4 linked regions of the Struthio camelus genome follow. The protein of the gene in region 1 interacts with the protein of each later gene in a pairwise test. Links are inferred from orthologs where the notes say so. Each region holds a gene or a part of one and is shown in the gene's direction. Other genes may lie near its edges. The genes, in order: BANP, POGZ, FAM117B and ZMIZ2.

Region 1 (7,708 bases):
GCAGAGGAGACAGTTTGTCATTCTGGTCACTGATGAATATTTGTATTTAGTTAATTTTACCTCTCACACCTGAATTAATTGGGTTATACTGCAAATAATTTTGAACATGTGTCTAGATGAATGCAGGTCCAGGATTAAGAGATGGCCAAATTCTGCTTAGAATGATAGCATTAATGGTATGTTGATGCTATATAACATTTTGTGTCTAGATTTCTAAAAAGAAAAAAAAAAACTATATGAATGTGAGGACTACACACGGAATGAAAAGGCAGTTCTCAGGCAATCCAGTTTAAAGAAAAGGATAAAATCCATTATCATCACTAACTGTGATGAACTCCACTTCAGGTTTTTCATAATCTCAGTGAATTAAAAAGGACTGAAAATGAGAACGGTACCTCACCAACTAAATATGGGCTATGGCAAGCCTCAGCTTAGCTGGGCAAACTAAAAAATACTGGGCAAAGATACCAGCTGTGTATCAGAGGGAAAAGGCCAGCGGAAGCAGTGGTGAGTGCGGTCCTCGGAAGATCACAGCAGGGCAAAGTGCAAATGCAGAACTTGTTGGAATGGCAGATTTCTGAGAAGGGGAATAGCCTCCTATCGTTTCCCCCCACTCCGAGGTATTCAGGGAAGTGGAACAGTATGTAAATAAATAAGAGAACATTGAGGTCATACCTGACCCTTCTCACCTTCTTTCTCAGTCTATCAAAAATTACCTTACAAGACCCTGAATTTTGACCAGCTGGGTAGGCCAAATATGTAACAATGTTTTTCTTTCTGCTGAGGGAATTCAAGGCCCCCTTCTATCCTCATTCATGCAAATCAGGAGTATCTTCACTGAAATAAATGGGGTTTACTCGGCGTAAAACAGAATTGAGATCTATGGGAAAGAAAATTATTCCTACAGAGTTCCTATGGCGAATACTCTGGAGTTACTCCTATGCCCTGATCACATCTGTTTTCTTCATGCCTTTGTTTCTATATTCACATGCTCAGCAGTGAATATAATCATGAATGCCTGTCACTTGTTTAAACAAATGCTTTGTTTGGCAAGCTTTGTTTTCCTGCTGCTGCTGCAGCTGCAAATTTGTGTGCACAGTGTGTTAATTTTTTACCTTTGATGCTATGGTAAGTTTTTTATCTAACAACAAAAATGAGGAAAGCAATGAATGAGATACCAATCTCTTGTGATCCATACAAAACATGTGAAAGCAGCAACTCCCTTGGGAAACAATAGTAAATGAATGCGGATACAAAGGTAAAATAAGATAGATATTTCCTGGGACCAAATGATTCTTCATAACACAACAGAGAAAAGTTAGCACATATTTAAAACGCGAGAGAGAAATACTAAAAAATGAGGATGAAAAAGGAGAAAAAGTAAAACAAATAAAATATTTTGCTATCCAGTTTGGGACGACAAACCAACAGGGCAACAGCATGTATTTTCTTTTATAAAATTAAAAAATAAAATTGATATATTAGCACCCTGAAGTACTATTCATTTTTCTAAGGAGGAAAAGAACAAGAATGGATTCGACCCCAACCACATCGGTGCTTGGAAAAGTTACCATGGGTTAAGCCACAATATACCTTAGCGTGTATCAGCTTCTCCTTGGTGCTTGCTCACGTGCAGTCTCTTAGACCATGGTAAAGTGAAGAGCTCATTCGCTAACGGGGGACCCACAATGAATTTCCTGACATTTATTGCACAAATATTCAGGTAAGCACATTCCTGAAAGCTCGTAGAGCTTAGGGGTTTTTGCAGAGCAAAGGAAACACTTGATTATGTGTCAGTACCCTAAATTAAAGACTAGGAGGCAAATTTGGCCCTTGTGATTTAAGCATAGAGGAGGTCTCCATTGTTAGGCTGTGAACGGAGGAAGATCCCCTTTATTCTACCATTTACCAGTATTTCCCATCAGACTTTCTGCTATGTGAAAAGTATGTCATACTTGGCTGTGTGACTCTCAAGGGGAACAAGGGACAAGCTGTGATAGCGGAGTCAGGAGGTAATGTCTTCATGATTATTGGTGTAATTCAAAATTTTAAAAGGGAATTCCCCCAGCCTTGTAAGAAATGATAGAAAAATATCTAAAATAATATATCTGGAAAACTCTTAAATAAGTGAATGGTATATTCCAGACTACTGCAATTCTCAGAATAGACTGAGTTACCAGCAGGAGGTAATGCTTTACCCTCTCTTAGTGTTAAACTGCTGCGTTGCTTTTTATGTTGCCATCTCTCATCAATGATGTAGAGATTAGCTGGGTCTTGCCAGTATGTCCTGGAGTTACTATGACCACTGAAGGTCCATATTACAACTGGTTCATGACGGTTTTCTGTTTTGTGTTGTTTTACCTGAGAAGTGATTTGCTGGCTGTACCGAGAGGATTGGAAGCTCACAGCCTCAGCAGGACATGAACTAATAATCTCTGGGAGGGAATTTCCTGATGAGAAAGCAGGGCAGCTTCTGCACTGGATTAGGATTATGATGGCAAAGGCTTTTACCAGCAACTTTCCACAGCAGATAGTGCACTGACGTTTATATCATTGTTTTCCTAGCTGGGATCTGGCAACTGCTTGAGTGCAAGCAGAAACCGTTTGCCAAATGTGTTACAGGGCAAATCTGTGCAGCAAGGCGTGAATAACCCTGTGCAAAAAGTCATTTTATAAGTAGTTTAACCTATGAACTTGCTAATCTGCTTGTGAAGGAAGAGAACACCGTAAATTAATCCATGGGTTCAGCTGAACAGTTGCAAATCTGGAAGCAGAAGCAAGGGTTTTCCTAAAGGGCCAGTTGTGAATTCCCAGGCTCGTGACAACTTTTGAATATTAAAAGCACCAGTTTGAGAAGTCACTACTAGCAGTTTCCAAAAAAGGCACTGTGCGTGTGCCACCGTCAACGTATGTTTCCTTGCACGAAACAGAAGACCCCTTCAGTACTGCTCTTTGACCCTCTCCATAACTTCCAGACAGATCAGCAGGAAGAACTGCTGGTTCCCTGGGGTCTGAAACGCTCTAGACACTGGAGCTGCTGTGACACGTGCAGTTTACTTTCATGCACTGACACCTCGGGTTTGAACGTGACAGAGTTACAGCACCTGAGAACCGCGTTTCAAACCACGAGCCCGCCAGCTGCGGCATCAACACCCAGCTGTTTAGCTGTAGGTCTGTAGGTGTCGGGATTGGCAGTTACTTCCGAACCGGAATGGATTTAATCACATACCATGACAGCGCAGGGCTGAATCACGCTTCGCGTTTGCGGAACGTTTTTTATGCAGAAGTCTGAAAATCACCATTGGCTGGGCTGAGGCTGAAAAATGAAGTCCGATGACGCTCCCGCTTGGGCCACAGTGCGGTATATGAGGATACAGTACTATAATCTTAAGTGTTTGTGTTCTTTCAGGCAAACACTCCTTTTCAGCTTCTCTCAGAACTACCTTCAATCTTCCTCCATGCTCTCTTTTCATGCTTTTGCATATTTTTGTCGTTCCCAGAAGGTTTCCAGAAGGTTTTCCACCTTCTCCCAGTCATTCTGTTCTCATACCAAATGCAGGAATGAAAAGCAACAGAAAAAGCAGTCTGGTAAGCTAATTTAGCCAATTCCCCCCCCCCCCCCCTTGCTGCCTGTTCTTCAGCTGTGTACTGAGCGTGGTGACATCTCTCTTCTTAATATGACAGCTCCCATTCAGATCATCTCATTTCAGGGATGCAAGCGCTCAAGGTCCCTTAGCGGAGGGAGAAATTTAATAAAAGGACTTGAGAAAGGAGTAGGAAAAAGCAACGCGCCAGCCAGAGCAAGGAGTTGTTGAGTCTGCCCTCAGGCTTGCCTCCCACAGTTGTGTCAGGGCCGGGTTGGCGCCTCAGGAGGGTGAAACAGGGCGAATGAGGGAGAAAGAGGGAGGTAGGTGTTGAGGGGTTTGGGGGCATTGAGTGTGTGCGTGTGTGGGGGGGAGTTTGTATGTGGCGCATCCGTGTGGTGCGGACTACAACTCCCAGCGTGCACAGCCTCCGGCGCGTGTACTACAGGTCCCGGCCTGCTCGGCGGGGGCGGGGGCGAAGGGCCGGCGCGCTGCCCTCCGGGAGTTGTAGTCTGGGCCGGCAGCGCGGCGGTGAAGGGCGGCTGCCCGGCCGCTTCTCCCTTGCGCGTGCGCGGGCGCTCGGGGCGGGCGGGGGCCGAGCGGGAGCAGCGCGGCGGCGCCTGCGCGCTGCGGAGAGGGAGATCTCTCGCGAGGAAGGACGCCATTATCGCAGCCGCTCGACAAACACCACGAGAATTCGGCACCGCACACGGTAACCGCGGCGCCCCGCCGCCGGACGGCTGGGGCTGAGCTCCCGGGGGGCCTCACGCCGGGCTTACGGCGCCGGCCCTCGCAGCCTCCCCTCTCCTCACAGCGCCGGCCGAGCTCCCGCCGCCGTAAGGCGGCGGCTGCGGGGAGGGGCCGAGGCGGCGGCGGGGGAGGGGGGGGGCCGCGGGCCTCCGCCCCCCCCCTCCGCCGGGCGGGGCGCGGGGTGGGGGGGGGCGGCCGGGCTCTCGCCTCCTCCCGCCGCGGGACGCCGCCGCCGCCCGGCCCTCCTCGGGGGCTGCTCCTCGTCGCCTCGCCCCCCCGCCCGCCTTCTCGGGCCTGGGGAGAGAAGGGGAGCCCCCCCCCCCCCCCGCCAGGCTGGGGCGCCTCAGTCCTGGCGCCCCTCGCTGCCCAGCGCCGCGAGTGGGGGGGGGGGGAGGGGGGCTCGGCTGCTCCCCGGCAGCGCCGCCGGGCACCGTGCCCTCTCCCCCCGTCTGCCCGAGGCTTGTGTTTCCTCCTTTCTGAAGGACGGGGCAGGTCTGAGCCGCTTTCCCTCTCTGGGGGTGGCGCACACGCGGCGCTGCGGACAGGGGTTTTTGGGTGTCGCCGCGCGCCCTCCTCCCCCCGTCGTGATAGACGGTGAATAAGCGGTGACAGCGGCGCTGCCTCTGCCCCTTCGTCGTGCCGAGGGGTCTGCGGCTGTGCTCGCGCCTGCTGGGGGGGGAGAGGCGCAGTTCTCTCTGCGTGGTCATCGGGTCATAGCAGGGGCTTTTCACATCCGTATCTGGGGTGATGTTTTCCAGTGTTCTCACGGTAGCGACCTGTCTGACAACGCACTCCCAGTTATCTCTCTCTCTCTCTCTTCCCTTTTGTTCTTATTTCTAATTCGAATAGTGCATTTTTTAATTTTTCTTTTTTTTTTTCCTTTTTTTTAAAATCCTAGTTGAGTGGGAAGTTGTGCACTTAACCAAATATAGTAGCTTTATTCTGCTGTGGGTCATGCAGTTTATGTACCAATTTATTTTTAGTGCTCTCAAGGGAAGAATTTTTTTTTTTTTTAAGGAAACAAGCTTGGAGGGATATTATCAACCAAGTGATGATGCCAGTTGAAGTAACTTTCAGATTGTTGTAAAATGATAGTTTGGAGGGATTTTTGCTACTTTTTTGTTTTTTAATTCACTTATATGTGAGTTTACCTTAAATGTAGTACCCTATTGGTGTCAGTCTTTCAAGCAGCAAACATAAAACTTGTCTGTAGAATCTCAAATACTCAGGCAAGATCTGAAAAAAAACCCTTATCTTAAGCGTTAGTTCATTAGTAGTGTCTCTTGAAACAATGGATTTATTCTGTTAGAAGGTATTTATATATGCCAAATGAATATCCCAAGAAATCTTAACAGAATAACAAATTGATTTGGAAACTGTATGAGCCCTACTGTGTACACTAAATGATATCTTGGCTTTAGTTCACTTTTCAATAAGACATGAAAAGATGGTAAGAAGAAAGACTAATTTATTAAGAAGGGTAAAAGATTGAATTTGGACTTTAGAAGCATTAACATTCTCTCTGATTCAGAGGATGAGAATATTTTGTAACTTTTCTTTGTTTTGTAATTCATCATCTGACTTATTAGAACTGTAACTCGCTTTAATGTCTTAATTATCTAGCTGTGTTAAAGTTGTGTGGTTACAGGGCAGATCTTAAAATTTAAGACTTTTAAAGGAGTAATTGAGTAACAATGTCAGAAGTGCAGCAGTAGTACAGCGAGCAGTAACAGTATACAATTCTCAACAGTCAGGATTCCACCAGCACGTGTTTTGCTAAAGAAGTTTTACAAAGGTTTGTTTCTTGCATGTGGCGCTGTTCTTGGCGCAACGCAAGGTATATGTTTTATACTGTCAGGTGAAGAAAGCTGAGCTACGCCTAGCTCCTTGTAACCAGAAGTGATACTTAGAGGTTTACCTTGATTCTGCAAAGAGCAGTGCTCTGGCGTGGGGCTCAGACCCACATGAATTACATTAATATACTCACGTTTGCAAGGATTTTAGATTGTCTCTGCTCTTCGTCTTGAACTTTTTCCTGAACTTCTTAAGTTGATTCGCAGCTTATGCAGGAAGAATACACATCTCTGTTTTTTCACAATTTGCATGTCTGCATATCTTTCACTGAAGAATGACTTGAATTGAAATTCCTGTGATGCTCTTTCTAAAGTAATTGAAGGCTCATTCGTTTTAAGAGGAAGATGGGCATTTGTCTTTGTGTACAGAAGCTCTGGTCCCAGAGATCTACAGAATTTGTTTATGTGAATTGAACAGAACAGCAAAAGAGCTACTTGTAGTAGGAGACGATGCAAATCGAATGATTAGAATTAGAAGAACAAAATGTCTATGTATACTGAACTTCTCCAATAAAATTCTTTTCATGGATTTGATTTCCTTTAGTTTGGAACATGGTATTTAGCTGTTAACTATTGAAGTAATTTAATTTGTTTTCTGTTTTTTTTTTTTCTTTTTACGTTTTCATTGAAAAGCTAAACGTATTCTTTTTTTTAAGTAAAAATAAAAGAATAAAATGTCTTTCGAAGTCATGTCAAATATTTGTTTCATTGCAGTTTTAGGATTTTAAAGCTCCTATATGGTAGGCTTAACTGAGCACTTAATATTAGACTGCATGTTAAGGCATTAAGCGAAAGTGCACAAAAAAGGTTAACTTCTTAAAATCCTTTGCATATAGAAACTTTAAATAAAGTAATTTTCAGAGATGTCACCTGTTGGGCAAAATTCTTTTATCTTGGTTCATATTTCTAAAACCCTAACTTAGACCACTTAAGGGAAAAATACAGTAAGTTCAGTTTTTCCTCTGGAAATTGGAGCATCGTTATCTTGTGATGAAAAAAGAATGCATCTCTTCTATCCATTATGGGAATTGGTAGAAACTATAAAGAAAAACAGCCCCTCTCTTTCCCTTCTCTGCATACACACACAGACATCTGTGGTATTTGCTTATCTGTCTCTAGCTTCCTATCAATATGTATACTCTTTAAGTTTAAAGCTAGAATTACCTTATTTTTTTCCTGGAGGAGAGGAGTGGTAAAACAGGACCAGACTGTAATAAGAATTTCAGAATGTGAAGAACTACTTGATCGATGTTTTTCTACTTGCATGATGTTCTTCAGATTATTTTCGTAAATATTCTTATTAATAATTTTTAAATTCTTACCATTACCCCTGTGTTTTAAAATGGTGCCAATGCGTTTCGAAAGCTTGAATGTTTCCTTTTCCTAAATGCTTGTAGGAGGTAAATCTATTGGAATGCTTTCGAATAAGCAGATTACTTGTTTCGCTGTAATTTTTAGATTGACCACCATGCTTTTTGGTGTTAGCCTGAAATAGCATATTTTTTTCCCTGAATTGCTAGG
Region 2 (7,457 bases), on another chromosome or scaffold:
AGAAACAACAGTGACCAAGAAAAAAAATGCTCTACAAATTTAGTTATCATTAAGAAATTCTGGAGAGAAGGGAGAATTTATAGCTATAAACTAAATAACTTTAGCTGAAAATGTTGTACTCTGTGTTACACCTTGCCAATATGCATGAGAAACAATGTATTTAAGAATTAAATTGAACATGGAACTAATTAATAGGTATCCTCAGGCATCACAGTGACCCATTTGTGCAAAATATTAAGGAAAAATATTTAATGGAGGATTCCCCACATCCAGTCTTTTGAAATAAAACACCACACTTGATTTCTGCTTCATGGATGTTTCCAGGGGAGATTGGTAAAAGCATTTTAGGAAGATCTAGAGACATTTATTTCAATTTTTTTTTGAGAAAAAAGAAAAGTTCAAAACTTTATATGTAAGTTAAAACATGTGGATGCTTTAAACTTTCAGATCTAAGGAATAATAATTAAACCTTAAATTTAAGTTTGAATACAGTGGTATAAGTGAAATGGAAAGACAGTTCTGTAACCAAAAGGAAACAATGAAACGTCCTACACTTGAAGTGCAGACAAATGAATTGAAAAAATCAGAGAAAATTTGACAATTTGACAATTAAGTAGTAAGCTCGAGTGTTTTGGGCCACCAGCATGACTCACTGCATAAGCATCTGTCTGCCTTCACATATGTGGCTCAACCTATCTGCCACAAGAAAAAAAGAAGTCTCATATATATATAAAACATGTACATACACACACACTATATATTAAATATATATTATATATAAAATTTTGTTTTCATATTGTAAGTTGCATTCTCAACATTTGTTTCTTTCAAACATATTCGAGTGGAAATTTATGCTCCCTTGATATCTTTATTTGTTCTTCTGGCCAGCCCCGCACTAAATTTTTCTGAATATAGTTAAGAATTGGAAAATGTCTACATCTCGTTCCACTTTCAGAGCTAAAGTACATCCTTGCAAAGAGTTTCTCAGCTATTCTAATACCATATTGTGAAACCTTTTGACTTTTTGCTTTGACACCAAGGAGGCTGCAGGTGGTTATAATCTTAGACCCCTGGCAAAAGCCTTACACAGCAAACGTCCAAAACACTGGCAACCTGCAGAAGCAAAACAAAATATTCTAATTTACTCTCTTTGAGATATGTAATTTATCAACTGAGTTTTCCTGTGTCAATCAAACTTTTTACTAAAATTTAAATTACATTAGGAAAACGTGTAAGGATTATGTTGGGATGCATATCTGGACCTGCTTTACCATCATACTTAGATTGGTTCATGGATGCTGACCTAAACACAGTCGGTTTTTCTTGTGAATGAGTAGTAAGGAAAATAGTTTTTTTTTTCCCACAGATATTTACTTTCTTTGCACTTCAAGATTTTTTTCTTTTTAGCTGCAGATCATCAATGTAAGCACCTGTAGTGCAGCAAATCTAGTAAAATGTCCAGGGTGCAGGTACAGTTGCTATTTATTGGATGAAATGCAAATGTTCACCTATATACTGTAAAATATATGTAACTAATAATTTTTTCCTAAATAAAAAGGAACTTTCTTTTTGGAGCAAGAATATCAGACTCCTGTCTAACTGTCCTAGTGAATTTATGCATTTCAACAGCAAATGAAAAAATCTCATTTTATTGTACTCCCCCAAATAGAGAACTTTCCTTCTGTTCCACTTGTGAATGAAAAACAAAAAAACTCATCAGTTCTGACATGATTTAAAACAGCTACATTCTGTCATTAATTTCATTTGAATTTGGTATCTGCAGTACACACACTGGATAAAGACAAAATCACCATGGTCAATTCTTTTTTTCACTTTAGGTATAAGAAATATTGCATTTACATGGAAGAAATCAAATTTGGGATCAGTAAGTGATATTTTCATTGGTGAACACAAACATTATTCATCAGTCAGTACTGTAAAACTTCATCAGTAAATCCTAGTTGCTATTGACATCGGAATTCCGATTACAAACTAACTTTTTCCATCACTAGCAATGCCAGTATTAGTGGCTGTTTTCCTTTTTATTCAATGAAAAATTACTTTTTATGCATAGCTTCTGTCTCCAGATGACATTTTTGGAAAAAGCCAGTGAAAGTTGCTAGTACTATATGAAATAATTAAATAATACTTCATCCAAGGCAGAGGCTCCAAAGTGCAGTCAGGAATACAAATGTATAACTACTGATAATAGTATTTGTTATTATTATCAGTGGCATAACCACAGAAGAGAATGTGGCCCTTCATGTTGCATATATATATACATATACATACATATATATATATATATATATATATATATATGATTTAGAGATGACACACAGTTAAATGAAAATGCTTCCCCCCTTCAGTATGACGTGAAGTTGCCTGGTGTACTGTACAAACTAGGAAGAATGACTGGTAACTCATGAAGAGCAACAGAAGAAAATTAATGTGCTTGCTTAATGAACTGCAGAATAATAAATCACATTCTAGCAACACATGGATATCACAGCAAGGGGGTCCATTTGGGAAATATACTACCTACCAAATTCCTAAATAGTTTTTTCAAGAATGAATAAGCTAACATTTCAAGGATGTTGAAAACAGGTTAAAAGAATTCTAAAATCTATACACGTATTTTTGTTAAATACGTTAACTATTAATACTAACCACACATTATTCTCAATTCTCTTCAATTATCCTCACCATATTCTCTTCAATATTCTGCCTGTACTGAACGCAGTTAAAAGCTGTATGTCCTAGCATTACTAAATTATTCACAATAATATGTTTATTACTAAGGATATAAACCATTTAAATTTATGTTAGGGAGAAACACAGTCACTGATTTTATCTGTTGGCTTGACAGCCCAGGACACTTACATGGCACTGATCCAGCAAGGTACTTAAGCAAATGCATAATTTTAAGCATTTACATAGTTGCTTTGATTATATTTGGATTGTTTATATACTTAAAGTTAGGTACGGGTTTAAGTATCCACTTAAGCAAAGCCTTTTTATCTCTGTGGACAGCTCCTAAGGTTGGTCTGTACTGCTATATCTACGCGCCTCAGTTCTGACTTCCTTGCAATCTCTACAGAAGCTGTAGAAGTTTATGACAATTTAATCCTTTGTCTCCTCCTTGAGGCTGTCACTGAGGGATGAAATCACTGCCAACTTTTGATGTGACTGAGTTTTTTTGAAGGGCTATGCAACTATTTATCTCTACTTTCTATCAAAAAGGCCTCAAATTTTGTGGGCCCTGGACATCTCTAACCACTGAGAGTTATCTTCTGGAGGTGGTTGTTTTGAGACCCAGCCACCTGAGAGGCATTACTAGCCATGCTACGGAGCTGAATCCCAGCAACGCCACCAGCCACTGAACCAGTTACCCTTTGCGGCCGATGGGTTTCAGCCCTGTAACCACATCAGCAGCTCTTCCCATCTTTCCCAAGACAGCTACTAGGCTGGCTTGACTCTTGGCCACACCAAAACCACCAAAATAAAACTCTGCATTGTAACTTTCAGTCCTAATCATAACATGAACCACCTGGTTGTCGCTGCGCCTACGGCGAGCCGTCACCATCGGGCTAGCTGAAGGCCAGCAACCGCAGCGGGGCTGAGCGCAGCCAAGGAAGGCGCGAGGGCCTGAGGGCCCGCGAGGGCACCTGCCCCGGAGCCTGCCTACACGCAGCTGAGCTCCCCAGGCTCCGGCGGCGGCCCCGGGAGGCGGTCGGGCGCCGGGGGCGCCGGCCAGGCCTGGGGGCCGCCGCAGGCAGCCCCGCCGCGGGCGCCCGCCCGGCAGCACGGAGGCCAGGCGTCGCCGGCGGGGCAGGGCGCGCCACGCGGGCCTCGGGGCAAGGCCTCGGCGCGGGGGAAGCCCGGGCCCCGAGGCGCCCCGCGCGGCGGCGGCGGCGGCGGCGGCGGCGGCTCCCCGGGGGCGGGGGCGCGGGGGCGCAGGGGCAGCGGCGGCCGCCGGCGGGGCGGGGCGGGGCGGGGCGGGGAGGGAGGGGAGGGAGGGGAGGGAGGGGAGGGGGAGCCGAGCCCGCCCCGCCGCCTTTGCGCCTCACGCAAACTTGGCCAGGGGCAGGCTAGGGTGCGCCGGCCTCCCGGTGACGTCATCCCGCCGCGCGCCAATCCGCCCGCCGCCCCGGGGCCCAGGAGGAAATGACGTCACCGTATCCCTCCGCCGGCCAGGTCCCCTTTTTTTGTGTGTGTGTGTATGTGTGTGTATGTGTGTGTGTGTGTGTGTCTGTGGGTGCCTTCTTGTGTGTATCAGCCCGCAGGGCTCTTTTTTTTTCCTTCTGACAGAGCGGGGGGGGGAGAAAAGCGGGGAGTCGCCCCCTTCGCGAAAAAAAAAATATATATAGAAGAGAGAAATTAATAATCCTCCTCAGCATCATCACAATAGAGGTTCCCGCGGGGAGGGGGGGTTGGGGAGCTCATGCCACCTGCCCTCCCCTGCCTCTCGCTTCGCCCTGAAAGCGGCGCCGTGCGGGGGGGCGTGTGTGTGTCACTTTAAGAGCGTGTGCGAGCAGCCTCGGCGGAGGAGGCGGCGGCGGCAGAAAGAGGGAGCGAGCGAGGAAGGTGAGTTGGCGCCAGTCCGTTATGTGGGGGCGGGAGGGCGGCGGGAGGAGGGCAGGGGGCCGCGCGGGTGGCGGTCGGTGACCGTTGGAACCGGTTCGAACCGCCCGGGTCTGGGGGAGGGGGGAGCTGCTGGGGGGGCGGCGGCGGCGGGGCCAGCGCGCCGTACACAAAGCGGCCGCGAGACGCTGGCGGCGGGGAGGAGGGAGCGCGAGCGCCGCGGCGGCGGGAGGGAGGGCTCGGGGCTGCCGAGGCGGAGGAGGGGGAGGAGCCGCCGCGGCTCCCGCTGGGCGGCGGAATGCCGCCGCTCGCCCGCCCGGGCTGGGGGAGGCGGAGTGATCCGCGCACCCCTCCCCGCACCCTCCTGGAGGGGGGGAGGCGGTGAAGCGGCCTTGGTGGCTCCCTCCGCTTCCCCCCCTCCCCTTCGCGCTCCCCCCCCCCCCCCCACCGCGCAAACAAAACACCTCGGCGCCGAGCGGTGCCTTTTCCCGGCTCACACAGGGCCCCCACTCCCCCCCCCGCCGGGGGAGGGGACGGCTGCATCCTCCCTATCTTACCTCCCCCCCCACCTTTCCCGCGGCTGGTGCTGGGTGGGCGGCCATGTTGGGCACAGGGATTATTTTTCTCTCTCTTTCTTAGCAGCCACAATAAACTGAGGACGGGTTTTGCTTTCTTCCTGTGGATAAATGTCCTTTCTGCCTTTCTTAAGGGAAGTTAGCAGTGAGGATAGTCTCTGTCTACTCTGGAGGGTGAGAGAACCCCTTTTTGGCCTGCCTGTTCTCCACCGCTCCATTACCTTCCTGGCTGAGGGGATCTGGGTTTGCCTGCCTAATAACCCTCTCCGCAGGAGCTGACCGCTCAGGAACAGGAACTGCTTGACTTGTTGCTCACCTGTGCCTTCAGTGTCATCTTTCCTGTCCTCAGGACAAGACAGGTGCCACCACATCAGTGTTGGACCCCTCCCCCCCTTCCCACAAGCATGCCTTCTTTAGACTGTTAGTTACTTCTTCACCTTGTCCCCAGTGTCCAGTGGAAAAGGCTCTTCCCAAGCACATCAGCTTCTAAGTATGTAAAGAGGGGGAGGTTTGTTTTTTGTTTTTGTTTGGCGTTAGGCTGCAGGTCCTTGTACTGTACTTGCTTGCTGTACTTGAAATCTTGGATTCCTTGCTGCCCTTGGCCAGCACTTTTTCCCTGGTCAGCAGCATGCCTTGATCTACCTGCTTGCCTGGCCTCTTGCTAGGCTATAGTAACACAGTTTGGTGTGCCGGGTCGGGGAGTCAGTTTAGTGGGCTCCTGCATTTCTCAAAAGATTTGGTCCACTGAAAGACTGTATGGAAACACCCCATAGCTGATTCCTCAGGCTACAGGTATTAAAAATTAGATGTTTGGTATCATCAATGCATTTGCTTCCTTTTACCTGGTCCTTACCATGCTACTGCTCAATGCATTTGCTTCCTTTTACCTGGTCCTTACCATGCTACTGCTCTCCCTAGTATGTGGGAAACCTAGACTGCTGCTATTAGGCCATCCTTTCTTCTTCCCCTTGTCTATGCTGTGACATAAAACGTGTGGAGATGTGGGAGAGGCATGAATTCTGCTGCCCAAAACCCTTGCAGAAAACATGCAACACATGACAACACACACAGCTTTATTTTTATTAACTTGGCAGCAGTTGCAGCTGTCACCAAGACATGCCAAATGGGGCACAAGTGAGTGATTGGAAGTGGGGGGTAGAGGAAGGGGAATCTGTTGCTTCTTTTAGGAAATACTTTGCAAGGATATACAAATTGCATCCTCTCTTTCCTAGATCTCAGTGTATACAGTATAGTAGTTTGAGGTTGTCAGATGTTAAATTTTATCTTTGAATGTAAGGTCTAGCTTACTGTATGCGCATCTTTTTTTCTATTGTAGAATTATTAACATACGTAAAATTGTCCAGTGGATTATTAACATAGGTAAAATTGTCCAGTGGATCTTCCCACCCAAAGAACTTCCTCTGCCTTGCTACTTTAAGCTCTAGCTGCGGGTAGGGTTCTGCAAGTGTTACTTGTGGTTGGTCTTGTGTTTATGGTTATATATGGTTACATTGTTAGTATGCGTGATCCCCACAGCTGCTTAGATACTGTCACAGAAGGTACAACTGTCTTCATGCAAGTAGAGCCTGTGTCCAGATTGAAATTAGTAGAGTGCTGTATAGTGTCTACTCACAAAAGAGCCAGTTGCACAAACATAGCTATAGGCATGCTCTTGGACTCTAGAAGCACAGGCTTGCAGCTTATGGGTAGTCCTAGGGTCACAAAAGGTGCCAAAGTGTTAAGCCAGTCTGCAGAGGCAAATATCGGAAAGCAGTACATTTTTATTGTTCTGCAATTCAAACATGAAGGTAGATAATAATCATGATAATTGGGTGTGTAATAATAATACATTTTAATTAGTAGGCATTGCACACTTCAAAGCCTTTAATAAGACATATAAGACTTAAGATGATAGTATTCATAGAAAGTTTAATAAGCCTTTTAAAATAATTTCAGTAGCCAGCAAAGTCAAGTCAACCACATCAGTCAACAAAAATAAATTTACCGTCGCCTGAAGGATATAACTGTTCAATTCTGGCATTCAACTTGCATAGTTCTTTTTACCTACCCTCTTCTATCAGAGATGTTGCTGATGATGAATAGCCATATAAACAATAATGAAATCATCATCCAATATGTATTTTCATCAGTTAGATTTTTATCAGTTTTAAACTGTACCAGTTAGTCATTACAGCCACGGAAGAGCATTATCCTTTTTTCAAAGAAGGGACTGCAGCATGTCTTGACAGCAGAAGCCTTCATCATAGGATTAATTTGCATTCACATTTAACAAAACCT
Region 3 (7,627 bases), on another chromosome or scaffold:
CTGTTTCAACTTCAATACCTTATTTTAATCTGCTGGCCTCCCCAAATCCCCCCCCGAAATTCTGAAAAATTAGCTAGGCTGACGCTATTACAGCTTTTGAATGAAGCAAATTCTATTACATTCGTCCTATTTTTTTTTAAATGTCTTTTTCATCTGCTTGTGTTAACACCCACATAAACAAGTAAAACTAACTCAGTCTGCAGGGGAGAGACAGGAAGTGCAGTCAAATACCTGGGGCATAATCTACTGTTTGGACTCACAGAATTTTAATCTTTCAACCTTCAATATTACTTACAACAACTACAGGTAAACAATTTCAGACAGCAGAGTGCTGCTTTATAGGCACTGCTCTGCATGTATTTATTTATGCAATAAGCCAAGAACATAGTTGAAGTTGCCTTGAGCACTGTCATTTTTTCATAAGGTTTGCTCATTACTATTATTTTAAACACAACGTATTTTTCATGCATATTACTCTGTGGGAAGTTCTACTCATAAACTTTCAGTCCTTAGTCTGAGAGAACTTCCTGAAGTATTACTTGTTTTGATAATCAGTACACTGGGATTTGGGCTTACGAACTTAGTTAAACCCCTTTGACCTTTGTTTCTCTGTTTTTCCTTCAGGGTTACTGTTTTGACCACTTCCTTGACTTGTTTATGTTCCTATTTTCAGAAGGTTTCAAATCTGTTTATGCAGCTCTGTGTTTTTTATCTATCTGCCTTTGAGGACACTTTTGACACGCTTCTAACATCTGGATGGATTTGTTTGTATCTTCAGCTTGTATCGGATGCTATGCTTATAAAAAAAATGCATCTAACAGGATGCCTGCAATACCTAAATTTAATCTCCCAACAATGGCTACTAACTAGACATTATTAAACGTTTCTGGTTAGGTGCCGATTGCCTCCAAGTTGGTGGGAGGTAAGAGTGTTCATTACCTCTCAGGAGGTGGCACTTGAGTTTGGTGTGTGAGCATACTCATATTTGCTGAGATCGTGTAAACCAATGGGTTGATGAAAAAAATGAGGTAGAGAGAAGCTGAAGCCAGAGATGGATCCCATGTATGTGGGATCACGAGTGACTCCAGTGGATTTGATCATCTAAAAGGTTCATTCCACTGATACCGGTAGAAGGCTCAAAGCCTTGGGGAAGATGATAATTTTCATTACTATTTTTTTGGATCATTGTTGGCATCCCTACATTAGGTGTTATGGGCAGAACAAGACAGTCACTGCCGTGAAGAAGCCACAGTTTAAAGGGTCCACATGAAACTGTACGAAATGTATTGTCCACAGTTGGCCCGGACACCATTTGTTAATGTTCACGTGCAGTAAGGGAGCGATGGCTGAAACAGAACACAAATCTTGGCAGATGTAACCACAGGGAAGGTCTGGTGGGGGGAGGAGGTTCTGTATCCAAGTTACTGTGGGCTGGGTTTGTTGCTTTGTTTTTTGTTTAACTTAAACAAATCTTTCAAACTATTTTGAAGTAATTCATAATGCTGCTTTAGTTGTTTCTATTATTTCCATAGGGTGTAGGAGTAAGATCCTGTTGTAACACATTTGTTACAGTTTATACAAATTAACGCATGAAGTACACACTGTTTGATTAGGTCTGAGTACATGACTTAACACGCTGCACTTTCACTCAGGCCTAATGCATGTAGAGCAATATTTAAGTGCTTGTGAGCAGCATTCCTAAAGGCTTTACTTTATATTCAAAACAACTGTGTGGAGCAGTGCCATTTTTGCACTGTGACAGTAATGTAGGAAGTACTATAATTGTTGTACATATCTTGTGCACTCAAAGTTGTGACTTGGCAAAAGTTCATCATGTACATAAATATGAATCAATACCTTTTATCTTCTGGCCTCTTCAAAAGGAATTAGAAGTTGTTGAGATCTTTTTATGCCTTAAAAATATCTTTACTGGACACTGCTTCCAAACAAATCCAGTATTTCTGGAGAGGATAAACTATCTACACAATAAAAACCTGCTGAGCAACTGTACTGGCACTGGCAGCAAGTGCTACTCCTTAGGTCACACCAGAAGGAACTGTAAAGGGGATTTCACCTTTTGGCCCAGATTGAAAATTGCAACAAAAGAAGTGAAAGAAATGTTGCATAGGTCCTTTTGCACTCTCCAGACTTCTTGCAGTGGCAACAACCTTTCAGGCCTGGAGGAGCGAGGATAATCATGTTCATACTCCTTGATCAGCCTGTAACATAGGAGGACACCACTGATCATTAGTGGGACCAAGCATTGTCCTGGGCTGCCAAAAAAGCAGCAAATAGCTTCCATTTATTTCTCCAGAACATGCCAAGGTGCTCTTTTGCTACCTCCAGGGCATTTAACTGTGGAGCATTATGAGGCGCAGATTCTCTTTGCAATACATACATAGAGTCACTGAGGGAATTATGTGATCCCTTTACCTCCAATGCCAACAACACGTAGCCCATACTTTTCTCTGTCTCTTAGCCATTCCTGGTGAGGACAGCACTGTTTCCCTGATGTTTCACTAATTAAGCGCTTTATCCATGATTATGATGCGTTGCCACATTCCACCTGCAGTACTTGTGACGGCTACAAGAACAAAGCTGTGAAGTGACCCTACGTGTGTGATTTATAGAGTGATTTTTTACGTAAGGTGCATAGTTTAAGAAGGAGTAAAACAGGACTGATGGTGATCAGCCAGGCTTCTGGTGCCTTTCCCTGACATAGCCATTTTCAAGGGTAGTCCAGGACAATTCCCCAGGTAAAGGCACAGCCTTGTAGCCAACTGTGATGTTGATCCATGTCTCTGTCCTGCAGGCCAGATTACTACGATTAACAGTACCTGTGAGCACGTTCTTGAAGGACCAGTGTCCTTCAAAAGAAATTCAGTCAGTGCAGAATGCAAGAGCTAAATTACTTGGTCAGCAGAAACACATCGATACTGTCCCCTGTGGCCAGTCTGATTTCTCATTAAGAAAAGCTTTTGAGTCTGACAAGAGCTTTAATCTTCAAGGCCTTAGGTAGCCCTGTGTCCAGGCATCCTGTTGTGCATATAATCTTGCCCTTCAGGACTGTTAAAACTGTCAGCTGTGAGGATGAAGCTCGTCAAAGGGGAAGAGAGGGCTTTTTCAGTAAGGGAAGCTTCAATCAGAAACAGCAAGGGAGAAAAGGGGAAAAAGACAAAAACAAGCCGAAGACAAGCAAGAACAATATGTAACTTGCTGTCACATCATTTGTATCACACCAGTGGTATTCAATTGCAACATGCAGTTTGCAGGCCAATACTGAAAAGAACTTGGGTAAAGAAAGTCCTCTTCAGTAGCACAGAACTGGCATTTGCCAAAAGGGGAGAGAGAGAATTTACTGATTCCTTCTTGTGTTAAAAGTGCTAAATGGCATTTACCTTGCATCTAACTAACGCAAATTCATAAACTATGCCCTATTAAATGTATTTATTCAATTCTCTAATGTATAAATCAGGTTAAAAGGCTGATTGCAGTTAACAAGTACTTTTAAAAGATTGCAGCGAAGATGTGTGAGCAAAGAATCTAATGGAGAACAGTAAACACAGCAATTAAAGGAAAAGGGGGTCAAATCTGCCTGGATATTACCCACATATCTGGGGCCATCATTAGTAATGCTAAGCTGGCAGCAAAGCGATTGGATAAATTGCTCCTGAGCCCTCGTCCTCTCTTCTATTGCATTTAGAGCTAAAAATAATTGAGCAGCCCTACTTCTCACGTACAACTGCTTCCTTGGGACAGGCTCTTGGGATACGGGTAAGCCGTAAATGCCTTTCCCTGCCGGGTTACAGACTTCCCGCGTGACCTTGGACAACTCACCAGGCCCTGCTGTGCAGCGCTATGCGAAGATGCGAGCTCTCGCAGAACAACCCCCCCCCCCGTTACTTCCTATGTCTGCTTTGCCTTTAGAGACGACGATCGTGGATGGTTCTCCTTAGCCCCGTGGGGGGAGCGGGCATCACCCACAGCCTCGGCCGGGGCGCTCCCGGGGCAGGAGCTGCCGCGCGAGCACGAGACCGGGCGGGGGGGGGGTGGGTCCGGCCGCCCCGCCGCGGGGCCCGCGCCCGGCACGTGTGGCTGGCCGAGGGGCGGCCCCCGCCCGGCGGCCTCGTGCTCCTTTAAGAGCTGCCCCCCCGCCACCCCGGTCCCCCGTCGCCGCGCAGGCTCGGCCACTCAGGAGCGCGCTCGGCAGCCAATGGGCGCGCCGTAGCTGCGCGAGCGGAGCCGCGGCGTGCCCAATGGGCGGGCGCGGGGGGCGGGGCGGGCGGCCGGGGCACTATTGTTGATGAGGCGCACGGAGCGGCCGGAGGCAGCGCGGGTCGCCCCGGGCTGGGCACAGCGGCGGCGGGAGCAGCGCCGCCGGCGAGGAGGAGGAGGAGGGGAAGGGATCGCGTGAGGCGCCTGGATCCCCGCGAGGACCTGCCTGCACCTCACGCCTTTCCCTTCCTTCCTCGCCACCGACGGTCCTCCGCGTCCCGGCGGACAATGTCCCATCAGCGCGTGAGGCGCAACGGCTCCCCGACCCCGGCTATCTCCTTGGGGGGAGGGGGGCCCGCGGCGGCGGGCGGCGGCGGAGCAGGAGCGAGCGGCCGCCTGCAGCCCATGCGGGCCACGGTGCCCTTCCAGCTCAAGCAGCAGCAGCAGCAGCAGCTGCAGCAACATGGCAGCCCCACGAGGAGCGGCGGGGGCGGCGGCGGCGCCAGCGCCCCGGGCGGGGGTCACCCACGCGCGGCGCCCGCCTCGCGCAGCATCAGCCCCACGCGCGCGGCGCCCGCCGGCGGCGGCAACGGCGTGCGCACCGGCCCCGCCGTGGCCACGCAGACGCCGGGGGGTGGAGGGGGCAGCGCCGCCGCCGCCTCCTCGCGGGGCAGCCCCACGCGCGCGGGCGGGGCGCGGGGGAGCCCCCCGCGGCCCCACCAACTGCCGCCACCTCCCCCCCCGCCGCCGTCGCCGCCTCCACCGCCACCGGGCTGCGGGCCCTCACCTTGCTCTTCCCCGGGGCCTCCGCTGCCGGAGGGTAGCGCTACAGCCGCGGGCAGGGTCCGGCATCGGCGACGCTCGCCGGAGCAAGGCAGGAGCTCCCCGGAGAGGAAGAGCCCCAGCTCGCCCGTCTGTAAAGGTGAGCGCTGCCGTCAGCGTGTCTGCCCACCCCCCCTCCCGCCTTCCCCCCGCGCACCTGCTGCCGAGCGGCCGTTACCGGCGGCGCGACCGTTACGGGCGGGGGGAACGTTGGGGGCCGCGCGGCGCGACCGTTAACGGCGCGAGGAGCCTGAGGGGGCGCGCGGGGGATACCTGAGGGGAGCCGGGGGAGGGGCGCGGGGCGGGCGCCGTCCCCGTCCCGGCGGCGGCGGGGGAGAGCTCGGCGTGGCCGTGCGTGGGTTTGTGATTGCAGCCTGGTCTTCGTGGGGGCGGGAGGGCTGGGGGTTGGCGGTGGCAGCCGTTGGCCTGTGGGGGTTGGTGGTGTGGCTAAGAGCACGCGGTATTTCTGGAGGAAGAGAGGAAGGTTGGGACAGGAGTTGTGCCCAGGCTTGTACCGGTTTTAGATCCTGGCTGCAGCGCTTGTCGGGTGTTTACGTGTCCAAGGGCTCACTGGTTGTATTACTGTTCTTTCCCTTCCTGGCTCTCGGGAAAAGGGACAGAAAAAGAAGTAAAGCGTGTCATGTGAGGAGGAGTGCAGCCAGTCCCGCGGTGTTTTCGCGAGTACTGCTAAAGGTTGCCAGATGAGAGGATAAAGGGTGTAAGAAGAGAAGAGATGAACTTCAAATACTTCACTCCAACGTTAAGATGAATTTGGTGTTTGGAAACTGTAGGGTAGCCTTCACATCTTCCCTTTCTGTGCCTCTGATGCCAGATGGTATGTGTTTTTGATCCAAGTAACGTCCACAAGCCTGTAATTGAAAAAACTAACTAGCACTGTAGGCATTACACATGTACGTAGGAAAAAAAGTCTTCAGTGCCTCTCTCTTAGTAGTTACTTGCAGCATAAACCCTGCAGAAGGATGTGTGAACTTGAGAGTGATGACAGGCTTGCGCTACAGCAAAGATAGAAAATAGTGCGAGAATGGTATATGTTTTGTAGCAAACTGCTTTTTACTGCTTTTGAATAATGAAAACATACTCACTGAGGGACACTGAAACGTAAGCAATGTGCGGCATCTGGTTGAGGATGCTAGGCTTACATATGTAAATCCTTGGTCTTAAGATAAAAGTTTACTCAAAAGCGCATGAATGAGGGCTTGTGTTATTGTCCTCAAATCTGGAAAATCAGTGACTTTAAAGATAACAAAGCTCCAGCTGGTATTTTGTCATGAAATTGCACTGGGTACTTAGACAAAGTTGAATAATAGGCAGAGGTGTATATTCAGAAATCCAGGACCAGCGCAATTCCCATTAACTTTTCCACTAATCCTAATTGTTGCCTCTCCCCCTCCTTCTAAAATTGTGATTGCAGCCAGAATATAGTTTTTATCTAGCCTAACTCTCGAGAAATGATGCTACCAAATTAGAGAGTCATAACAAACTGGTACAGTACTTAAGGTAATGCCTGTGTGGCTTAATTTTTCTTTTTTCTTTTTTCTTTTTTTTTTTTTATTCAGACATACCTCTTTGAGATTACCATATGTCCGTTTCGCTGAAATGTAAGAGAGAAGGCCACAAAGGCATTCAGGTTCTGATTTAGATCTTCAGCTTTCCAGATAAGGGTGATGTGTTTTGCTTAAGGTCATGTTCTGAGGCTTTAGATTGAGGAATGTGTATATTCTTCATCTGAGATTCTTGTTAATTAGTAATCTGAAAGACTTTATACACATCACAAAACTCATCTTTGTTCCTAGAACTTTGTAGAAATTCTCCCCCAAAAGGTAGTCTCCTAGCTAGCCTGGAGATTGAGGAACAGGATGGGCTACCCTGAGATCCAGGTTCAAAAGCTGTGAAGGTTCATGTCAGACCACTTATAAGGGGGAAAAAATTACACTATCTTCGGCTCATCACGTAGAGACCTGTTAAAACCACACTGTCTAGCTGACTTCTTTACTGGACCTAAGAATTAGTATATATAAAGAAAAAAGTAATTTGATAACTAGTTGTTTTTCACTGCTGTGTTAACAGATAACCCCACTAGCTTTTTGCAAGATGGGAAAGAGAAGAATAGTGTCCTTTTAACTGCTGCCATGCATTTAAATTTCTCAACAGGACTTGTACTGACCCAGAATTAAAATGCAGATCAAGCCAGTTTAACATATATACTATGTAGTCCAATGTTTTTTAGAGATTGAGTTGATTAATTTCTATTTCATATAGATGAGAAAACTTAATGGTAGCTGAGAACGTGGAAGTGGAACTTTATTTTTGCTTATGTGGTTAGAATTGTGAAGCCATGTGGGGGTAAGCCACTTCATGGTAACGTTCAGAATCTACTGCAAAATAAGTATGGTTTTGCTGCTTTTTGTTTTCAGTTGATAATAGCTTTCATTCATGCCTACAGCTGCATGCCTTTTTTTTTTTTTTTTTAAATAAAATGAACCTTGAGGTTAGACAAAATCATGTCCACTTCTGAACTTTGATACTGGTTCTGTAAGTCGTGCAGTTAAGGCTCAGCTTCGTGTTTATC
Region 4 (8,576 bases), on another chromosome or scaffold:
TCGTCGTGAACTGCTCCACTCCAGCCAACTTCTTCCACGTCCTTCGGCGCCAGATCCTCCTGCCTTTCCGCAAACCGGTCAGTGCCAGCGGGCCCGCTCTCAGCTAGGCCTGCCTCTGCCGTTCTGCTTCGCTTAGTCCAGGTCAAAGCCAAGGCAGGGAGGCCCTGGGTCTGCGCCGAGCCTGGGGACAGGATTTAGAGCGGGCCTGCTTTTGCACCTTGTCAGCAAACATGCGCAGAACAGTGAAACGGACCCAGGAGCAAAAAGCGGGGAACCCAGCAAATGATGGGTGCTGCTCTCTGGGCTGCAGGATTGCTCCCAGCAGAGAGGAACACGCTCCCGACTGATGTGGGTTTAAAAACACTCATGTCCTTGGGAAAACAGAGCAGCCTGTCTGCTCTTGTGACCCTGCATGTCATCCCATACCCCTAGGGCTAAGCGAGCAGTTAGCCCAGGTCTGGGCCAGCAAGGACCGAGGACCCCTTGTTGCGTGGGCTGCCTCGGTACGTGACATCCTGCTAGCTGGTTCTTGCAGGCTGGGGTCTCTGCGATCCTTAGGTAGATCAGAGACATCAGGGCTGGGAGGCATTGATAAATAATCCAGTCCAGCCACTTGTGTTCCACCTCCCAGCGATCCGGCCGCATCCACGCGGGGGAGGCAGGTCTCTGGCAGCGCTTCAGCCTCTTCCCCAGGGGAAACGCAGACCGGGAAAGCAGGAGGTGTTGGAGGCTGGCGCTGAATCTTGCAGCACAGCAGCCGAGCAAGGAGCAAACCTCTCAATGGCTGCTCCTGCGTTCAGAGGTTGGAGAGGGCAGGCAGGACAGGCAGGTCTATGCTCCGGTGTTCGTTTGCAGGGGAGGTGTTTCTGGCATGGCTGACTGGCTTGCTTTGCCTCTTCTCCTCCCCCTCCAGCTCATAATCTTCACTCCAAAGTCACTGCTGCGCCACCCTGAAGCTCGCTCCAGCTTCGATGACATGCTGCCAGGTACGAGAAGCCCGGAGGTGTTTGTTTCCCCGCGCTCGGCTCTGCAGGACGAAGGGTGAAGGGCAGGAGCTAGCTTGGTGTAAAGTCCGCCTGGCAGCAGCAGCAGCCTCCCCTCGCCGCTCTTGGCCGGGGTTTCGCGCTGAAGAGCGGATTTTGCACCAGAGCTGCTGAGCAAGGCTCGCTCTTCCAGAAGCTGGGGTCTGCCTTGCCACAGCGAACCTGTGCGTGCCGGAGCCCGTCTCTGGGCTGGTGCGTGCCGGCAAACCGCTTCCCTGGGGAGGTCCTGCTAAGGCAGCCCAGTGCTGAGGCTTGCGTCCCACGGAGGATTTGCATCCTCGCGAAGCTTCGCGCTGGTGCCTGGGCACGGCAGACAAGTAGCTCTGCGCTAGGATGGGGCCGAGCTCTCCCGTGTAGGAGGAGGCTCAGCTAGCGTGGCACGAAGGCTGCTTTCCTCCCTGCTCCAGGGACGTCTGCCTGCTCCTCTCTCTCTTCAGCAGAGGCAATATGTTCACCCGAACGAACGGAGGTCAGGGCGTGCCAGGCTGCAGCCGGCTACTGAGCAGATTGGAGCCACCCATTATTAGCGCTCTGTCTGGCACCCTGGGGCTGGTGGCTCTGCCTGTCACTTGCCAGGCCAGTACACGGCTCTTAGGGCAACCGCACACCAGCATTTCCAGCGTCTCCTGAGCCCCTAGGAGCACCGGGCTTCCTCTGCGGCGAGGAAGACAGGTGGCTCAGCTTCCCGGGCGCTTTGCCGCGTCGCTTCCTCTGTCGGCAGTCACTTCCTGCCAGAGCTGCGCGGACGGGGTTTGACAACCCCACGCCCTGCGTCCTCTCGAGGGCTTGTATTCGGCACCGAAGGCTGGGTGCTCCCAGCCTTTTTCTGGCCTTGCCCAGCTGAAGGTTGCGCCCTGTCCCTTCCGCTGTGGTTTGTCTGCGTAGACTCGTATCCTCCCCACGCTGCAGGGACGAGAGCAAGCTCCTCTCTGCTGGCCCGGTGCTCTCAGTGGGGCTTAGACAGGCTGCCCACGAGTTGCACTGTGGCTAAGTCCAGGTCCAGACTTGGTCACTAGGGATGGGGCAAAACCAGGGTGGTTTAGGGTCATCTTCTGCAGGCATGCTAATAGCATCTAACTGGCATGAGCAGGTATTTTGTCCCATCCTGAGAGGAGCAGGCCCTGCCGGGGCAAGGTGCCACCTTCCAGTGTGTGCTGGTGTCCCTGGAAGGCGGGCTGCACCTCTCCCAGCAGCGGCCAGAGCTGCTTTTCCAGCCCTCTGAGATAAGCAGCTGGCCGGGCTCCTCCCCACATTCCTGCCTGATGTTCTCCTTTCTTATTTCTGGTTGAGCCACCTTGTTTCACAGACTTCCCGGGGCCTCCCTTAATGAACTACACCCTGTTTGCCCTGGGAACGCTCATTGTCACTGCCTGCCAGCAGAAGAGCAGGCAGAAGGGTCACAACCCAACCCAGGTTTGTCATTCCTGGGAGTTAACTCTCTCTGCGGTGGTGTCAGCCGGCCCCAGGTATTGTGGTCCTGTCCCGGGGAACAGCCTGTCGCTCTGTGCAGCGGGCGGGGGTGCAGTTGGGGTCAGGGACAGGAATGCAACACAGGAACGGCACAAAGCACGTTGCGCCTCCCTGGGAGACGTCGCACACGGGTGAAGGCGGCTCCCGACGCACCACGGTGTCGATCTGAGGTCGGTGCCGCTGTTAACGGTGGCGTCTTGTCTCTTTGCAGGCACCAACTTCCTCCGTGTCATCCCCGATAGCGGCCCTGCGGCCCAGAGCCCCGAGAATGTCAAGCGGGTGCTGTTCTGCACCGGCAAGGTGTACTACGACCTGACCCGGGAGCGCAAGGCCCGGCAGATGGAGGCCGACGTGGCCATCACCAGGGTGGAGCAGGTGAGCGAGGCCCCCGGTACGGTGCACGGAATTGCCCTCTGCCGCCCTGAAGGCCGGCGTTGGCTCTCTCACCGAAAAGCAGGGTCCGAGGGGATCCAGCCCGTGCGCTGGGACAGCAGGGCCTGGGGACGTGCCGTCTCGCTGTCCTGCGGCTCCGCCTGTGCCAAGCACGTGGCTTGACGGGGCGCGGGAAGCGGGTCGTTTCCCCTCGGCTCTGTCCCGGTGACGGCTCTCCCCTCCCGCAGTTGTCTCCGTTCCCCTTCGACCTCCTCCAGAAGGAAGCGCAGAAGTACCCCAACGCCGAGCTGGTCTGGTGCCAGGAGGAGCACAAAAACCAGGGCTATTACGACTACGTGAAACCCCGTCTCCGCACCACCATCAACCGGGCCAAGCCCGTGTGGTAAGGAGCAGGGGCCGAGGCCCCGCTGCCGCGGCGGGTGCCGGCTGGGCCCCGCTTTGGCCGAGGCGCCTACGCCGCAGCCCTCCCTCGGCGTCTCAAGGCGCCAAGGCCTCGCGACGTGTCCCTGACCCCACTTCCCTTCGCCGCCGCAGGTACGCGGGGCGAGAGCCCGCCGCTGCCCCCGCCACCGGCAACAAGAAGACCCACTTGACCGAGCTGCAGCGGCTCCTCGACACAGCCTTCAACCTGGACGCCTTCAAGGACCTGGCCTAAGCCGCCGCGCGGCCGCTGCAGCATGCTCTCGGCTCTCTGTCTGTCTGTCTCTCGCTCGCCTCCTGTCTCCGTCCTTAACTACAGACCTTGTAAACTAAACGCCGGCGCCTGGAGTCCTTGTCCATCCCGCCGGCGCCTTGCCTTGCGCTGGGCCCCGTCGGCAGCGAGCTTGGCGTGGTTCGCCTCTCCCGCGGGCTCCGCCGCAGCCCCACGGCGGCCCCGCCGGAGGCAGAGGGGTTACGGGCTGCATCCCCGCGCGTCGGGGGGGCTGCGACCCTCGGCTCCCTTCCCCGGGAGCGCCGGGCTTTGTTCGACTTCGCCCTGGGGAGAGGAACCCAGCGCTGGGCCCCGTTTGTCCCAGTCGGGCCGGTGCTGCGCTGCCCGTGCTGGTCTCTGGGCTGACTTAAAAACAGAGAAACTCCCCGGCTCGGAGGAGGAGGGAGCCGGGCGGTGGCCTCTGCTCTCCTGCCACCCCCTGCCAGCTCGGGGCGCGCGGAGCACCTCGCTTCTGGGCCGAGCGCGCCTGTCCCGGGCGGGCGCCCGGCCCCTCGGGGTGCCGCCGTGGGGTCCCTGCCGGAAGGGCCGAGCGGCGGCTCCCCCCGGGCTGAGTCACGTCCTGGCCGGGCCCTCCCTGCCGGCTTCCTTCCTGCGGCGCGGCCGCGACCCCCGGCGCGCCAGGGTGGGGTGTGCACGTGTGACACGCGTGTGCGCGCACAGGCGCGCACGCACAACCTGTCCCGCACCTGCCAACGGCCAGGCGCGCCAGCACGCCCTCGCGCGCTGTCACGCTGGCAACGCAACCTCTCGCCTGCACAACCACCCCCTGGTCTTACACACGCGCTTCGCAGTCAAGCACGCAACACCTCTCGGTCACGCTGTCACATACACGCGCTGGCTGTGCGCACACAACTTACATGCACAGGCATACAGTCTGTTACACTGGCGCATGGTCACATACACCCCACAAGCCCTGTCAGTCACACGTGTACACATGCAACCCCTCACACTGTCACACAACCCCTTGCAGGTAGTGTCAGGCGCACACACAACCCCTCGCGCATGCTGTCCCATAGTTACGTACACAACCCCAGGCGCGCACAGTCCCTCACAGTCACACACACAGTCAGATTGTCACAGCCCCGCAGGCAGGCACACTGTCTCACCCCCCCCCGCTGTCACACGCAGTCACAACCCCATAGCCACACACACACACACACACAACCCCACCCAGCCTCGCCCACAGCGTCGCGCACCGCCCCACAGGCAGTCGCGCGCCGCCGTTCGCCTCACGGCCGCGCGCGCAGCACCCCTCACGCAGTCACGCGCGCGCAACCCGTCGGGTGCGCGCGCACACGCGCCCCCCGCGCGCCCGCCCGCCGCCGCGGTCATCACACACACACACAGACCCGCGCAGGCGCACTCGCAGCCCCTCACCCCCCCCCCCCCGCACGCACAACCTCCCCCCCCCAACCCCGTCACGCGCGCGTCACCCGCCCCGCGCGCGCCGCTCGCGCGCTCGGCGCTCGGCTGCCCGCGCCTGCCGCCGCTGCCGCCGCCGCCGCCGCCGCTGCGCGGGGGGGGGAGGGTGGGCGGGGGGGGCCGCGGCCCGCCCCTGCATACTGATGAGCTCGCGGCTCCATTGTGCGCGGCGCGCGGCGGCGCGGGCACGGCGCGGGCTCGGCTCGGCTCGGCTCGGCCCGGCTCGGCTCGGCTCGACCCGGCTCGGCTCGGCCCGGCCCAGCCCGGCCGGCTGCGCTCGCCCCGCCGCCGCCGCCGCCGCCGCCGCACCACCACCACCATGGAGCCGGGGCCGCGCGCGGGCTGAAAATCCCGCGCAGCTTCCGCGCAGCCGCGCGGGCACGGCGCCGCCAGGGCCATTTTGGGCCGCTCGCGACGGTGAGTGCGGGCAGCGCCGGGGGCCGCGGCCGGCAGCGCCCCGCGCCCCCTCCCCTCCCCTCCCCCCCGCCCCGCTCCTCGCGGCGGCGGGAGGGCGGTTGCCATGGCGACGCGGCGGGGGGCGGCCGGGGCCGGGGCCGGGGCCGGGGCGGGGGCGGCGCGGCCGGGGCTTTCCGCGGCTGCGGGCGCCTCGCCGGCCTCGGGGCTCCCGCCGCGGCGGGGGGGTGGGGGGGGCCGTCGCGGGGTGTCGCCGGGCCTTGGGGACCCCGGCGCGGGGGTGTCACCGGGATCTGGGCCGGGGCTCCTGTCACGGGGCGGCCCACGGCCCTCGGGCACCCGGGGCTGCTGCGACCGCGGTGCCGCTGCGCCCCTCGGGGAGCCGGGGCGGGGGGCTCCTGTCACGGCGGTGCCACCATGGCCGAGGCCCTCGGGGAGCCGGGGCGGGGGGCTCCTGTCACGGCGGTGCCACCATGGCCGAGGCCCTCGGGGAGCCGGGGCGGGGGGCTCCTGTCACGGCGGTGCCACCATGGCCGAGGCCCTCGGGGAGCCGGGGCGGGGGGCTCCTGTCACGGCGGTGCCACTGTGCCCACGACCCTCGGGAACTGGGGATGAGGGGGGCTCCTGTCACGGCGGTGCCACTGTGCCCACGACCCTCGGGGACATGCGATGGGGGGGCTCCTGTCACCGCGGTGCCACCGTGCCCACAGCCCTTGGGGACCCGGGACAGGGGGGCTCCTGTCACCGCGGTGGCACTGTGCCCACGGCCCTTGGGGACATGTGATGGGGGGGCTCCTGTCACAGCGGTGCCACCGTGCCCATGGCCCTCAGGGATCTGGGTCGGGGGGCTCCTGTCACGGCGGTGCCACCGTGCCCATGGCCCTCAGGGATCTGGGTCGGGGGGCTCCTGTCACGGCGGTGCCACCGTGCCCACGAGCCTCGGGGACATGCGATGGGGGGGCTCCTGTCACAGCGGTGCCACCGTGCCCACGACCCTCGGGGACATGCGATGGGGGCCTCCTGTCATGGTGATGCCACCATGCCCACGGCCCTTGGGGACACGGGATGGGGGGGACTCCTGTCCCAGTGGTGCTACTGTGCCCACAGCCCTTGGGGACCTGGGTCAGGGGGCTCTTGTCATCACGGTGCCACCATGACCACGACCCTCGGGTCGTGGGGGCTCCTGTCACCGCGGTGGCACTGTGCCCACGGCCCTTGGGGACATGCGATGGGGGGGCTCCTGTCACAGCGGTGCCACCGTGCCCATGGCCCTTCGGGACCCAGGACGGGGGCTCCTGTCACGGCAGTGCCACCATGCCCATGGCCCTCAGGGATCTGGGTCAGGGGGCTCCTGTCACCACGGTGCCACCGTCCCCACAACCCTCGGGGACCCAGGATGGGGGGCTCCTGTCACGGTGGTGCCACCAATCCCACAGCCCTTGGGGACCCGGGATGGGGGGCTCCTGTCACGGCGGTGCCACCGTGCCCACGGCCGTTGGGGACATGGGACGGGGGGCTCCTGTCACCGTGGTGTCACCAAACCCACAGCCCTTGGGGACACGGGACGGGGGCCTCCTGTCACGGCAGTGCCACCATGGCCCTTGGGGACACAGGACAGGGGGCTCCTGTCACGGCAGTGGCACTGTGCCCACGACCCTCGGGGAGCCAGGATGGGGGAGCTCCTGTCACAGCAGGGTCACCGTGCCCATGGCCCTCGGGGACCTGGGGCAAGGGGCCTCCTGTCACAGCAGTGCCACTGTGCCTGTGTCTCTTGGGGACCTGGGACGGGGGGGGGGACTCCTGTCCCATTGGTGTCACTGTGCCCACAACCCTCGGGGACCTGGAACCGGTTTTGGGACAGGACCGATGCCCCTGTCCCTTCCCTGGGTGGCTCGTGCCACCACAGCACCTCACCCAGCGCACGGCCTCCCCCTTGGGTCACCCACGGGGCATCCCGTGGCCTCGTCCCCCTCCCTGTGCCACGGCCAGGCGCCCGCTGAGCCCCGAGTGGCACCACGGCCAAGCCCCCTCCGTGCTGTGACTGTCACCAGCCCGAAGCGGCCACTGGACCTGGCACCCTCTGGGGTGGGTCCGTGGCACCCTGCGGGTGCAGCACCCAGGGGTGCTCAGCACCAGCGCGGGTTGGACACTGGGGAAATGGGGACAGGCCCTGGGCGCCTCCACCCTGGACTTGCATAACGCTCGGTCCGTGGCCGGGGCTGCGAGGGCACCCGAGGCCAGGGCGGCGGGTGCCGCAGCACCCGTGGGAACCCCAGCCGGCATGGGGGACCCGGGCTTCGGCGGCGAGGCCGGTGCCCCGGGGATCTCCCACCCTCGTCAGGGCAGCGAACGGGAGATGGCGCTGGGTGCTGGGGTGGGCCCGGCCCGTGGCTCCGTCCTCGTGGTGGCTGCGGCCGCGACGTCACGGCGCGGGGTCCAGAGGGAACTGAAAGCGCCCGGGCTAGTGCGGTGCCACCGCGCCAGGCTGGAAATACCCCGGGGCAAGCGCCGTGGGCAGGGGGACGAAGCCTGGTGGCCGTGGGGGCCGCGTCTCGCCCTCGGCTGCGTCCCTGCCGCTGGCGTCTCGCCCGAGCTGGCGCGGAAAGTCCCTCTGCGGTTTCCTCCGGCCGCGTGGGCGCCGGGGAAATGCCACGGCGCCGGCACGCGTGGCGCCCGGCGCGGGATTTTCGGAGGGACGGTGCGGGGCGACGGGCGCGCGGGGCAGAGCAGCCCCGTGGCGCCTGCTGCACCGCGAGGGTTTGGAGCGGGGGCGTTTCGGGGGGCCACGTGCCCCGTGGGGCTGGCGGAAATGGGCGGGCGCGTGGCGGGGCCGTCCCCGTGCCAGGGCCAGGCAGGACGCCAAGTCCTCGCGCGGGGACGCCGCGGTGTCGGCGGCGGGGGGGGGCCGCCCGGATGCCTGGGTTCACGCTGTGCCACGGGGAAGGGCACCGCCGGGAGCTGGGGGGCAGAGACACCACGCGTGGCTCCCTCCCCCCCACCGCCGCCGTCCCTTTCCCCCCCACCCATGCCCCCTGCTAACGCCCCGCCGCGTCCCGCAGCCCCGGTGACACCGTCCCGCCGGCGCTGCGCCCGCCGCGGCCACAGAAGGCCCAGCCTGCGCC

The links.
Region 2: the proteins of BANP (region 1) and POGZ interact in binary tests that used the Homo sapiens proteins (3 or more experiments, as listed by UniProt). The two-hybrid records come from large-scale screens. The link is inferred for Struthio camelus from reciprocal best matches to the Homo sapiens genes BANP and POGZ.
Region 3: the proteins of BANP (region 1) and FAM117B interact in binary tests that used the Homo sapiens proteins (3 or more experiments, as listed by UniProt). The two-hybrid records come from large-scale screens. The link is inferred for Struthio camelus from reciprocal best matches to the Homo sapiens genes BANP and FAM117B.
Region 4: the proteins of BANP (region 1) and ZMIZ2 interact in binary tests that used the Homo sapiens proteins (3 or more experiments, as listed by UniProt). The two-hybrid records come from large-scale screens. The link is inferred for Struthio camelus from reciprocal best matches to the Homo sapiens genes BANP and ZMIZ2.

The regions. Positions count from the first base shown.
Region 1 is NC_090951.1:3,024,636-3,032,343, reverse strand, and holds the start of BANP (protein BANP), read left to right. Parts: upstream 1-4,173; 5' UTR 4,174-4,296; intron 4,297-7,708. UniProt on the Homo sapiens protein: Controls V(D)J recombination during T-cell development by repressing T-cell receptor (TCR) beta enhancer function. Binds to scaffold/matrix attachment region beta (S/MARbeta), an ATC-rich DNA sequence located upstream of the TCR beta enhancer.
Region 2 is NC_090971.1:209,552-217,008, forward strand, and holds the start of POGZ (pogo transposable element with ZNF domain), read left to right. Parts: upstream 1-4,180; 5' UTR 4,181-4,587; intron 4,588-7,457. UniProt on the Homo sapiens protein: Plays a role in mitotic cell cycle progression and is involved in kinetochore assembly and mitotic sister chromatid cohesion.
Region 3 is NC_090947.1:9,794,186-9,801,812, reverse strand, and holds the start of FAM117B (protein FAM117B), read left to right. Parts: upstream 1-4,290; 5' UTR 4,291-4,503; coding exon 4,504-5,137; intron 5,138-5,310; exon of another isoform or gene 5,311-5,403; intron 5,404-5,683; exon of another isoform or gene 5,684-5,802; coding exon of another isoform or gene 5,803-5,872; intron 5,873-7,627.
Region 4 is NC_090968.1:1,512,211-1,520,786, forward strand, and holds the start of ZMIZ2 (zinc finger MIZ domain-containing protein 2), read left to right. Parts: upstream 1-5,349; 5' UTR 5,350-5,457; intron 5,458-8,513; 5' UTR 8,514-8,576. Other genes in the region: OGDH (2-oxoglutarate dehydrogenase complex component E1), read left to right, coding at 1-77, 914-986, 2,725-2,888, 3,134-3,288, 3,441-3,561. UniProt on the Homo sapiens protein: Increases ligand-dependent transcriptional activity of AR and other nuclear hormone receptors.